Linked DNA regions of Oryctolagus cuniculus. The protein of the gene in region 2 binds, or shares a complex with, the protein of the main gene of each other region. Links are inferred from orthologs where the notes say so. Each region holds a gene or a part of one and is shown on either strand. Other genes may lie near its edges. The genes, in order: RSU1, LIMS1 and PARVA.

Region 1 (3,646 bases), on a different chromosome or scaffold from region 2:
TGAAAGACTTTTCCTTTTATTCTATTCCTGAATAAAAATATATACTTTACTATTGGAGAGCTTAAAAGAAATGTCAGAGAAATATGACTACATACAGTATTTAAATAACAGAAGTGATGTAAGTTTTTAAAATGTATACACAGGCATATGTAGATTCTGGAAGGTATTTTTCTAACAAATTACTAACTGATAATAACTGTTTAATATTCTGCATTGCCTCATTGCTTGAAAAGTGAAACAGCAACAAAGACACATGTATTTTTCCATTTCTACCAACCACACTAACCAAAGGCACAGGTGAGAGGCATTAAATGGACTTTATCAAACTACGTGAGAATTTGTCTTACGCATGGAGGAATTGACTCATAGGGTTGGGATGGGGACAGGCACTTGTATTTGGCAAAAGCTCCCCAAGTATCACTAATGCTAACACCTGTGGCTAACAATCACTGTACAAAATCTGTTCTTTGACAAGAAGTTATTTGTCTCAAAATTTTTTTTGCAAAAGAGTTTTTCTTGATCCTGTACCCAGCTCCCAAAGTCAAAAAACTTAACCCTTGTAGCTCAATGAAGAGAAGATGTAGAGTTACTCCTCAGTCCTTAAAATCATAGAATAAAGCCCTCTGGACTCTGAACACCAGCAGAGAACTAACCTAAATGGGACAACTGGAGGTCAAGTTTCCCATTTGTCCCAGGAAATCAGGGGACTGCTTTTTCTTCATGAAGTGCTAGGCAACGGAACTGAGCAGGGAGCTGGGCTGGGCAGCTTTCAGCTGCAGTTTCTGAGATGCTGGATGCACAACTGCAGAACCCAGCACCCAGGCAGGTCAAAGGCAAAACAACTGAATGCTGGTCCATGACAAACGCTCTTAAAATGATCAGAATCGGATGCCTAGGTGGAGGGTATGTGCCAGGACGAGGAGAGAGCTTGTCACAATCACTGCACTTGGATGATCATCATTAATTACACCCAGACCTAAGATCATTCACCGGCAGCCAGCCTTACCTAATTCTGGGGGCAGAACAGTCAGGCGGTTCCCCTGAATGTGGAGTTCCTTAAGCTGCGTAAGTTCCCCGATTTCTTTAGGCAGCGAGATCAGGTCGTTATCCCTAAGGCTGAGCTGAATACAAGAAAAGAAGGAGTTGTCAAAACAATTTCACATAAAGAGGTGCTCAACAGAAACTCCCGTCCTCTCCCTAGCCCTCTCCTCTGCCTCTTCGGAGGCTCAAGCCTTTCAATTTATTTACAAGTGTCTGCGGCTAAACAAGAAGCAGTAGCAGGAGTTGTGGTTTATTCCTGCAAAACCAACCTTACTCCTGCCCAAATTGACTTGATTCTACTCCTACAAGGGCTGTAGAAGTGAATTGATTTTCTAAGAATTTAGATAAATTACTTACTATCTGCAACTTTGTGAGCTTCCCAATATCTGCTGGCAGGATTTCAAAATCGTTGTCACTTAGATAGAGTGCACGCAGGGTGGCTGCAAATTAAACAGCAATATATAAACAGGGTGGCATGGAACCCAACCATTTGAGGTCTGATCAATACTAGGGAGTCAGCTTTGATTAATAACCCTGGCTTGGTGAAAAGCCTCTGACATACCTAGGGCTCACAATAATAACAAGCAGGTCAAACTTAGATTTACTGGCTTATTGTGTTGCTGGTATAGCCAGGAAAACATCTATATCCAGGAGGACTGACACAATTAACAACCATGGGCAGCGGCAGTTTTTGGCAAAGAGTTTGAACGCATTTTAAGAAAAGATGGCTACTTTTCCCTATTACTTCGCATTCACATCTCTGACTCCATTTGCATTCACAAATCTTACAGCAGTCCCTACAGCAAAAGGGCTCTTTCATGTAAACAGAACTATGTTAAAATAAAACTTTCTTATGTATACAGAACCAGTGTTAGAACTAAATATATAAATGAAAAGTTTTGCTGGGTGCTTATTTAAGCCATCCTCACAGTCCAACATTTCTGTAAACAGATTAATTATTATTATATAATTCTACAGCCTTAATGACAAAATATATTAAGACAAAGGGAATAAAATAATGGTATCAGGTAAACAGAGTAAAGCCAAAGTTCAGCAGAATATAAGGAGTCACTTTGTTCAAAACATTATGTGTTACTAACATGATCTCAACCTGCTGGTGGGGGGGCAGAACATTGATCTCAACCCAAAATGGGAAGTAAAAGTAGTTGTATACTTTTGTTTAATTTGTTTACAGATATTTAAGTAATTCTGCTGGTTGAAAATTCAACACAGCTGTATGTAATATACATAGCAAAGGCAGTTTTTATACTATGGCTCAAGAAAATATTTTAGAGTTGGTTTCATATGCTTGACAAAGTCTGGGAGAGATAACAGACACAGGTTAAAAACATAGGTACAGAGAGAATGTACTCAGATAAAAATTACACAGGTAATTTTAGAGACTAGCTCAGAAAATTAGAAATTTCTAGATGTCATATACGTCACTATTTAGAGAAGTAGAATATTCATTTAAAAGAATTAACTCTTTCTGAAATATCTCATGAATTCCTGGAAAATTAGTTATTCTTAATGATGAGGAGCATCAACAGCAAGACATTCACTTGCCCATGAATGATGAAGTGTGTTCTTTTTATTTTTTGAATCGTGTCCTGGACAATATAGACTAAATCAATGAGAGTACTTATATACTTAAAATAAGAATCTTGACTAGAAAATTTTTAAAATTCCAATAGCAGTTTATTAATGGATAGTTTTATAATTAATTGATTATAATATCTCAGGGCCAATCTACAAAGCTTTTTAGCAACATGGGAAAGCTTCTTTTTGGCATGCTCTTTAAAAAGAAAGTCAAGTTTCTTAACTAAATGTGAGACTTGCTCTCATTTAGATACATAATCTCCCACAGAAAGTGAGTATGACATTACTAAGTCCACTTCAGCCCCATGGTGTCACACACCCATATATCAAACATACATACTGCTGAGCTATGAAGGAATATTCAAATGGAAGCTGTGAAGAAAAAAATATATATCCAATCATTTCTCTTAGCGTTTGGGCCTGGCAAATAAATTTCACTCTTAGAACGCAAAGTACCACGTTAAAGAGATTTATAGAATTAAAAGTTTCTTACTAAGGTAGAAGAAGTTTCCAGGAAGAGAATTTTCATTCAAGTTGTTGTAAGTCAAGTCCAGGACTTCAAGAGCTGGTAGGGAGCCAAATCCTCGAGGCAGAGTATTCAGCCTATTCATGCTGTTGTTGGGGGGAAAAGCCGGTCATCACACACAAAATATATACTGGGATCACCTCTATCTCATGGGCGGAATACATAACACAGTGCTTTGTGACTGTAGAGTTACTTTGTGTGAAATTTTTAAACTTTTATTTTAATTGGCAAGTCTAAATTGTATATATGAATGGTATGCAATATAGCATTTTGATTTATATATACATTGTGGAGAGGCTAAATCAAACCTAACATTTGTATTACCTCATATATTTGATCATGTTCTGGTGGTGAGGACACTTAAAATCCACTCTCTTTAGAAAGACAACATATATTGTTATTAACTATAAATATGGTGACCACGATGTACAAAATGAGGGTACTTCAAAAAGTTTATGGATAAGTTTACAGACATTGGTC
Region 2 (3,394 bases):
AAATTAGTGGAAACGGATTCAACACAGATGTAAAAATGTTTCTTAATAGCACTATATGGTAGCATCTACATTCCTGTTAGTAAAGAACTGTAATTCCAACCTTAAATTCTTTCTGTGGTAAACGTAAAAAAATTCATAGTATTAAAAACTGTCCCCTAACAATGGGATCGCTTATCTGTGTAACACAGAATAATAATTTACATTACGTTTCACTCAGTGCTAAGTAAAGAGAAACCCAATGTAGACATAATTTAGGAAGTAGAGTAAACCACAATCTAAGGGCCATGAGAGCACGTTAAGGAACCCCTGCAACACCTAGGGCTGGGCCAGCACAAAGTCCCTCAGGCCAGGTCTCTCCCAGGGGAGGCAAGGACCCCAGTACTTGAGCAAGTGGAATCAGGACCTGAACCCAAGCACGCCCGTGTGGGATGTGGGAATCCCACGTGGCGCCTGCACCGTGGCCTCTGACACCTGCTCCACCCGCTCTTTAAAGCAGAGCAATACACACTTTGAATGCATCTGACCAAGCTGTCCTGGGGAAGACAGCCCATCTCACCGCATCTGACCAAGCTGTCCTGGGGAAGACAGCCCATCTCAGCCGCATCTGACCAAGCTGTCCTGGGGAAGACAGCCCATCTCAGCCGCATCTGACCAAGCTGTCCTGGGGAAGACAGCCCATCTCAGCCGCATCTGTAATGCACTTCCAGCAGGAAAGCACAGTGAGTTAGCACTGCTGGAATTCAGACCCTTTAGTTTTGAACTAAATACACATTTTATAACTTGTTCATTGTCTGTGAAATTGCACTTAGGGAGAGTTTGTGGAAACGTTCAGAGGTACACTGTCATCTAATACGTCTGGTCCAAGCTTTCATGCATTCTTCAGGGCTGGCGTTGTGGTACAGTGAGTTAATGCACTGCTTGTGACACCAGCATCCCCTCCTGGAATGCCTGCTTGAGTCCCAGCTGCTCCACGTCTAATCCAGCTTCCTACTAATGGACAAATGGGATAGCAGCAGAAGATGGCCCAAGTACTTGGATCCCTGCCACCCATGTGGGAGACCCTGGCTCCTGCCTTCCAACTGGGGCAGCCTAGGCTGTTGTGGCCATTTGGGGAGTGAACCAGTAGATGGAAAATGTTCCTCCCTCCCACCTTTTCTTCTCTCTAACTCTGCCTTTCAAATATATAAATAAGTGTTTTTTAAAAAATACCAGGAACAAGAGAGTTTGAAGACATCAAGGAAATGAATTCATAAACAGTGGCATATAGGCACTGTGTGAAGGGACATATAGCAACACCGTAAGAGTAGGTATGTACGACAATGAGATAGGACTTGGCTTGGATACAAAACATGCTGAAAGAATACAGAACTTCAAACACATGCACTTTTTTAAAACATCAAACAATATTTACGATTTATCAGTTAAATGTCTTCAGCCAAAAAACCAAAGACCAGGACTCTAAAAGCTGTGTTATTAGACTAAAATATTTTAAAACTTCTCCTACTCTCTGTTAAGAGACAGGAATTCTTCCCCTTGAAAGAAAAGTCCTCTCTGATGTATTGTAATTAAAAATAAATAAATAAATGAAAGGCGAGTGAGTGTACAGGCCGAGGGAAAGACATGAGCACAGCTGGTGATCAGTGCAGACCTCAGCCAAAGTGTCACCATGTTCATAGTCATGCAAAAGGGCAGATCCTGGAATTCCGGTCTCTGACGGCTGCACATACAGACCAAAAAGAAAAAAAAAGCGAAAGAAACAGAACAAAAAACACATTCTGAAGGACTAACCAAAGAGGAAAGTAGCAAAAATGATGACAGAAGGGATAGAAAAGTTTACAAACAGACTGGCTTTTTCTTTTTCTGCTTGTCCTTATCCTTTGCTTCTCTCTCCCGTCTGGCAAGTCGCCTCTTAAATTCTTCTGGCATTTTCTCATAACAGTGTTTGCAGACTGGCTTTAGATCAATTTCAACAAATTTATCCCTTTGAGTAGGACAAAGAAGGAACAGAAGAAAGAATAGCAAACAGTTAAAGGAAGAACCTTTACTTTCAGAAGGGCTGAAGAGAAAGGAGAAACAGATTAAACAACGTTTTTTAATTCTAGGAGTAGTTTTTAAAAAAATGTCTTCCCAAAGTTTTCAGTCTCAGGATTCACCTGGGACCAGCCATCGACTTACTTGAGTGTTAGCTTAGTGTTGCAGGTGGAACAGGCAAAGCAGTTCACGCACCAGGCCTTGTTAAGAGCAGAGACCACTAGAGAAAGAGCAGAGAGACCTGGTCACTGGAAGACACTGCCATGGAGAGCGGGAGCTTGCATGTTCAACTCCGGGAGCCATGGCCATTGCCAGCTGCGCTTGGAGGAGGCACTCAAGAATCTCTTTCTTGAGAGATTTTCTCTCAAGAGACTCACAGAGCTAAAATCTCGGGGTCATTAACGGAAGTGCACTGAATCAACCCATTTCTTGAACTTTTTTTTTCACATCATTTTCTTTAAAACACACACACACACACACACACACACACAGAGACACGTACACACGTACCCCAAACACTTATGTCTTCACTGACTTCAGGCATCCATTTAGAGCAGATTATTATGGGCTTGTCAATGTGATTGCCGACTTTCCCCTTAGGCATCCTGTGAGGTACATATATGTGTCCGCCACCTTGTCCCCCCCGCCCTGCGGACAAGGGAGCCCCACCCACATGCACGGTGCCACTCAGAAGAGCTTTCCTTGCACGGCACCTTAGACCATCACTCAGTCACGTCGCAGTCCCTGCTGCCACTGGTCCAACAGAGTCTGCAGAGTCTGTATTTTTAGGAAAATCCAGACATGAAATTGTTGGCAGGGACCTTTCCTCTAAAGCTAACATGAGAAAAGCGCTTCCTTGAAGGCTCCCTTCACCTCTCCACTGCCTCTGCAGGAGCGAGCCGAGTTTTATCCTCCGCGGCACTGCAGACGGTTTTCCTGCACTGACCTTCTCACAAGCCGCACCTGTGCAGTGTTTCGGGACGCACTTCCTGGGTTGGGTGAGGTCTGCTGAGAACCAGGAGGCGCACTGAAAACAGGATTGTTTCAAACTCTGCCAGGAAGTCTCGGGCAGAACTGTGCTCATGACTGAGCACACACAGCTGCTTCCTTCCCGCGGCAGTGCAGCCAGCCCAGCCTGGTTACTGCCGTGCAGGGTGGGAAGTCCTAGCAACACGGGCCGCGAACCACCAGGTCACAGCACGGGCGGGGCTCGAGCGCCTTCCTCATAGCCCTAATAAACGTGGTCTGAAAGCCTCCATGAACTGGCAACTCCAACAGGTCTTTGGGTCAGTCAGGAGCAGTTTCTATCACCATAAAGGAGGAAGGAATCCGATTCTGAGATGACGTCACCTCATGCTCTGGG
Region 3 (4,421 bases), on a different chromosome or scaffold from region 2:
CTGCTGGTTCACTCCCCATATGGCTTCAACAGCCAGAGCTGGGCTGATCCAAAGCCAGGATCCAGGAACTTCTTCCGGGTCTCCCATGTGTGTGCAGGAGCCTAAGGACTTGGGCCATCTTCTACTGCTTTCCCCGGGGCGCATTAGCAGGGAGCTGGATCAGAAGTGGAGCAGCCAGGACTCGAAGAGGCTGGGGCTTTAAACTACTGAGCTACAGCGCCTGCCCCAATAAATCTTTTTTAAAACTATGCTTTTATTTGGCTTCTCACTATCTCTTTAAGATCTTTGGGGAGCGGGGCAGAGGCTTATGGCAGTCCTCCCAGGCCAGCAGACATCAGGACTTCTCTGCTTTCTACCAAGTCAAAGGGAGCAACAAAAGTCTCATTTTCCAAAAAGGTAAAATTATGACGCTGCAGCACAGATAAGATGAACCTGTACCCTGCCGAGAATCTACAGACCATCTGGTTAAATTTCAGCTGCTGCACAGTTTGCTGATTGGCTCCAGTTAAGGTGGAGGGGGTTATCAGACTGCTTTATTCGCATCTCCTGGGAAGGAAGCACAGCTGATCTCTGGGACCTGCAAGTGGGGGCTGGGAAGAGACTCCGGATCCAGGTGGCTGCTCCCCGCAGTTTTCCATTACTGGCTGGGATCGCAAGGCTTCCGGAGCTTTCTTTCCTCCACGCTTTTGTTTCTCTACTCATCAGCATGCATGTGCTAAGAGCAGCCCAGCTTTGAACCTCAGCCTGGTGCTCGGATTCCAGATTGGGGCCACCTGACTGGCTGTCAGGCAGGTGTTCCCTGTGGGTCAGGTGTTCACCCAGATTCCATCAGCTGTAGCTACGGGGCAAGAGCCACGAGGAAGAGACGCGGTTGCCCAGGGGGCTGTGTGTGAAAGGCAGACACTGAGAGTCCCACTGAGAACTCAAGATGAGCAAGCACAAGCTTGTGCCTTTGAATCATTTCCAGGATGAGTCCCGAGCGCTGTGTTGTGTCACTCCCCATCACTGTTCTTTTTGTTCAGGCGGGATAAGAGGGGGTGGGGTCGTGGAATTCACAGGAGTCCATACTTGAGCCTTTTCCATTCCCGTTTCCACCCACATGTGGGACCCTTCTTTGTACAAGCTGTTGAAGTGCTAGAAACCCAGATTTCTTGCAAGAACGAGCACCTTGACCCTCCTCTCATGAGCCTCACTTGTAGGTGGACGGCCACGGCTGCGTGCCGGAGTGGCTGTCCGTGTTCGGTGGGCAAAAGCTACGGGACTCATAGCCACGCGGGAAGTGGGGACCCAGCCCCAGGCCAGCTTCGGTGCAGCTCCCAAGGTGTGCCGGGGAGCGTGCTGGACGCAAAGCCCTCGCCGCCTGCAGGCTTACACGGGCCCACGCATACACTTAACAGATGAGGCCACTTGCCCCACGGGGGGCGAATTAGGGGCGTCCTCCCCTCCCCGGGCAGCCCTGGGACACGGGCAGCGCCTTCCCGGGCGGAGGGCGGCGCGAGGGAGGGAGCGAGGGAAGGGAAAGGCGAGCGTGAGCTGCTTCGAATGCTTGGAATAATTCCGCTTCCGTTTGGGAAGCCGCAGCCTCAGTCCCGCCGCCGCCGCCCGCCGCGTCCGCTCAGCTCCAGCGCCGCGTCCCGCCCGGCCCGCGGCTGCCCGCTCCGCCGCCATGGCCACCTCCCCGCAGAAGTCCCCCTCTGCCCCCAAGTCCCCCACTCCCAAGTCGCCCCCGTCCCGCAAGAAAGATGACTCCTTCCTGGGGAAACTCGGGGGCACCCTGGCCCGGAGGAAGAAAGCCAAGGAGGGTGAGTGCGGCCGAGCCGGGGAGAGCTGCGCGGGTCGGGGCCCGGAGGAGCCGGGGCTCCGGGGCCGGGCGGGAGCGCGCGGCGGGTGCCCGGCGTGGTGGGGCGCGCGCTCGCTTCCCGGGAGCGGCGGGCGGGAGAGCGAGGCGCACCCCGCACCGCGGCCCCGCGGGCGCCTAGCCACGGCCGCCCGGCGCTGCCTTCCCGGGCAGGCGCCCCTGCGGGGCCGCGGACGCGCGCCGCGTGGCAGACAGCGGGAGGCGGCGGGACGCGGAGCCCAGGCCTGGACTCGGCTCGTAGGCTGCTGCTGCCGCCGCCGCTAGGCCCGTGTCTCCGCCCTCTCCGCGCCCCAAAGCTGGCATTTCCCAAGTTTCCGCTGAAACTTTTCCTGGGCGCCGTCACGCTCGCGCTCTGCCTTCATTGGTCTGCAATCTGGCCGTTTCCTGTGGAGTCCTCTTGCAGCAGCCTGGCGGCTCTGGCCCCCGCGGCCCTGTCGTCCATCCCTAGGCCTGCGTTGGTGCGGGGGATTAGTTAGCATCGGTCGTTTGCTGAATGAATGCGTGGAGAACTGGCAGTCCTAGCGGTCCCCCGGTGTAGTAATGATAAACTCTCATCCGGGGAAATCACAACAGGCGTGAATTGAGGCGATCGTAATTTTTTTTTCCACAATAATTTGCATGTAATGCATTTTGTCTCGCGGGTGGATTTAGCATCCTGGTCGTGGTTTGGAAAATAAGGCAGCGGTTCTCATGAAGGCGGTTAGTGACAGGTGTGTGGCTATGAGATGCAGGGTTAGGAAGCGTGTTTTATAGACTGCTCATGGACAGGAAATAACCTCTTGGAAAGCTTTGATGCTGACATGTAAAGTAAGTTTTATGTTCTTGAGGTACCTTAAAGCGTGAAAACTTTAATGCTGAGATTGAACCCAGGTCGACCTGAAGAACTGGATTTCTATTCTCTAGACCGAAGGAGGAAGCAGTAAAACACTACTGGTTACAGTAGTCCTTGTAAACCTACCTGCGTCCAAGACCCCCAGTAGATGGAGGAAACCGTACATAGCACTGAACCCCGGATATATACTGTGTTTTCCTATACAGGCATACCTTTGATGACATTTAACTTAAAAAGAGGTTAGCACCAGTAGATGCCACAATTGTAACAATGTTGTAATACATGCTATGTAACCTGGTCTGTCTCTCATCCTCTTGCTTGGTGTGGTTATGTGAGGGGCTGCAATGCGTGTGTGATGATATCAAGTGAGGTGAATGACACAGGCGTGGGGATAGAGCGTCAGGCTTCTGCAGAAGGGTAATTGGAACACAAGCACTGCGTCGACCTCACGACAGTGGATCTGATGACCTTGATGACGGCTAAGCGACTAATAAGTGGGTACCTTATACATAACAGATACGCTGGATAGGAGGATGACTCATGTCCCAAGTGGGACAGAGAGGGGCAGCCCGAGATTCTGTCACAGTATGTAGAATGACATGCAACATAAAACGTGTGAACTGTTTCTGGAATTTTCCAGCTTGTAAGACTGAAGCCTTGGAAAGTGCATGCTCCTATTTTGGTAACCTGTTGAGTAGTATACAGTTGGTGGCAAATCGTGAAATCCTGGCTTGAAAGCCTCTCTCTGAACTGTCCTTCCAGGTTTTTCCTCCAGTTTTCTTGTATAGGCTCATCCTGCTTACGAGTAGACTTAAGAATTATTGAAACTTAGATGTACCATGAATACTCACCCCATCTTGACCAGTTCTATAGGAAAATTGACTTTCTATTTAGCCAAACGTTGATCTCTCTGTACTACTGTTAGTGGGGCCAGGAGAATAGAAAGAACCTCGTGATGGCCTTTCATCTTTTTAAAGTAGACTAGCCTGCTTTCTGGAGTCTTCCCTTAACCAAGCAAACAGCCTCTGCTCTTATAGTTATCCTCAAAGAATGGATGTGGTTTATAAGGCCCTCTGGTATGCTGCCTCTTCAGTTGGAATCAAGGTCACTGCAGGAAGCAAAAGGCCAATATAGTTGGGATTTTGGAAATAATTTAGTGAAGAGACTGTTGACCTAGCTGTGGGCAGGGTTAAGGGAACCAAGAAGGGAGGCTGCTACACCTGTGGGCCAGCAATAGGTAGGAGCTGTTCCCACTCCTGGTCCCAAGGGGCAAGTGAAGCCAACTGGAACCTGGAGGAGGTTGGAGTCCTGGAAGAGAGGCTGCCTGCCAGAAGCTGTCATTGTAGGGGGACTTAGCCATGATCAGAAATGTGCAGGTGGAGCAGAGTGGCACAAGAAATGCAGATTCTTGTGGTGTGGTGGGTAAAGCCGCCCTCTGTGGCACCGGCATCCCATATGGGCACCGGTTCAAGTCCTGGCTGCTCCACTTCCGATCCAGCTCCCTGCTAATGCACCTGGGAAAGCAGCAGCAGATGGCACAAGTGCTTGGGCCCCTGTACTCATGTGAAGCTCCTGGCTTTGGTCTGGCCTAGCTCTGGCTGATGTGACCATTTGGGGAGTGAACCAGCAGATAAGATCTCTCTCCCTCTTTGTCTCTCTATAACTCTGCCTTTAAAATAAACAAAAATCTTTAAAAAAAGCTGCTGGAGAAGATGTGGGGGAAAAAGGGAC

What was found.
Region 1: the proteins of LIMS1 (region 2) and RSU1 are in contact, whole or in part, in a crystal structure (PDB 7LT9), measured with the Homo sapiens proteins. The link is inferred for Oryctolagus cuniculus from reciprocal best matches to the Homo sapiens genes LIMS1 and RSU1. Residues at the interface, in NP_001180417.1 of Homo sapiens: Cys252, Phe253, His254, Cys255, Asn256, Leu267, Asn268, Lys269, Ser279, Thr280, Cys281, Asn282, Thr283, Glu293, Phe294, Asp295, Met296, Lys297, Cys303, Lys306, Phe307, Pro308, Glu310, Leu311, Arg314, Leu315, Lys317, Leu318, Ala319; in NP_036557.1 of Homo sapiens: Asp21, Ser23, Asp24, Gln44, Val46, Ser48, His49, Val67, Asn69, Phe71, Asn72, His90, Asn92, Met95, Glu112, Asp115, Thr117, Tyr118, Arg137, Ala138, Tyr140, Ser142, Asp143, Ile161, Ser163, Arg165, Asp166, Glu184, His186, Gln188.
Region 3: LIMS1 (region 2) and PARVA share a complex: the UniProt entries of both Homo sapiens proteins name them as parts of the heterotrimeric IPP (ILK-PINCH-PARVIN) complex. The link is inferred for Oryctolagus cuniculus from reciprocal best matches to the Homo sapiens genes LIMS1 and PARVA.

The regions. Positions count from the first base shown.
Region 1 is NC_091444.1:42,899,985-42,903,630, forward strand, and holds part of RSU1 (ras suppressor protein 1), read right to left. Parts: intron 3,253-3,646; coding exon 3,134-3,252; intron 1,482-3,133; coding exon 1,399-1,481; intron 1,122-1,398; coding exon 1,007-1,121; intron 1-1,006. UniProt on the Homo sapiens protein: Potentially plays a role in the Ras signal transduction pathway. Capable of suppressing v-Ras transformation in vitro.
Region 2 is NC_091433.1:100,134,569-100,137,962, forward strand, and holds part of LIMS1 (LIM and senescent cell antigen-like-containing domain protein 1), read right to left. Parts: intron 2,252-3,394; coding exon 2,176-2,251; intron 1,982-2,175; coding exon 1,834-1,981; 3' UTR 1,789-1,833; intron 1-1,788. UniProt on the Homo sapiens protein: Within the IPP (ILK-PINCH-PARVIN) complex, binds to F-actin, promoting F-actin bundling, a process required to generate force for actin cytoskeleton reorganization and subsequent dynamic cell adhesion events such as cell spreading and migration.
Region 3 is NC_091432.1:53,885,802-53,890,222, reverse strand, and holds the start of PARVA (alpha-parvin), read left to right. Parts: upstream 1-1,555; 5' UTR 1,556-1,666; coding exon 1,667-1,802; intron 1,803-4,421. UniProt on the Homo sapiens protein: Plays a role in sarcomere organization and in smooth muscle cell contraction. Required for normal development of the embryonic cardiovascular system, and for normal septation of the heart outflow tract.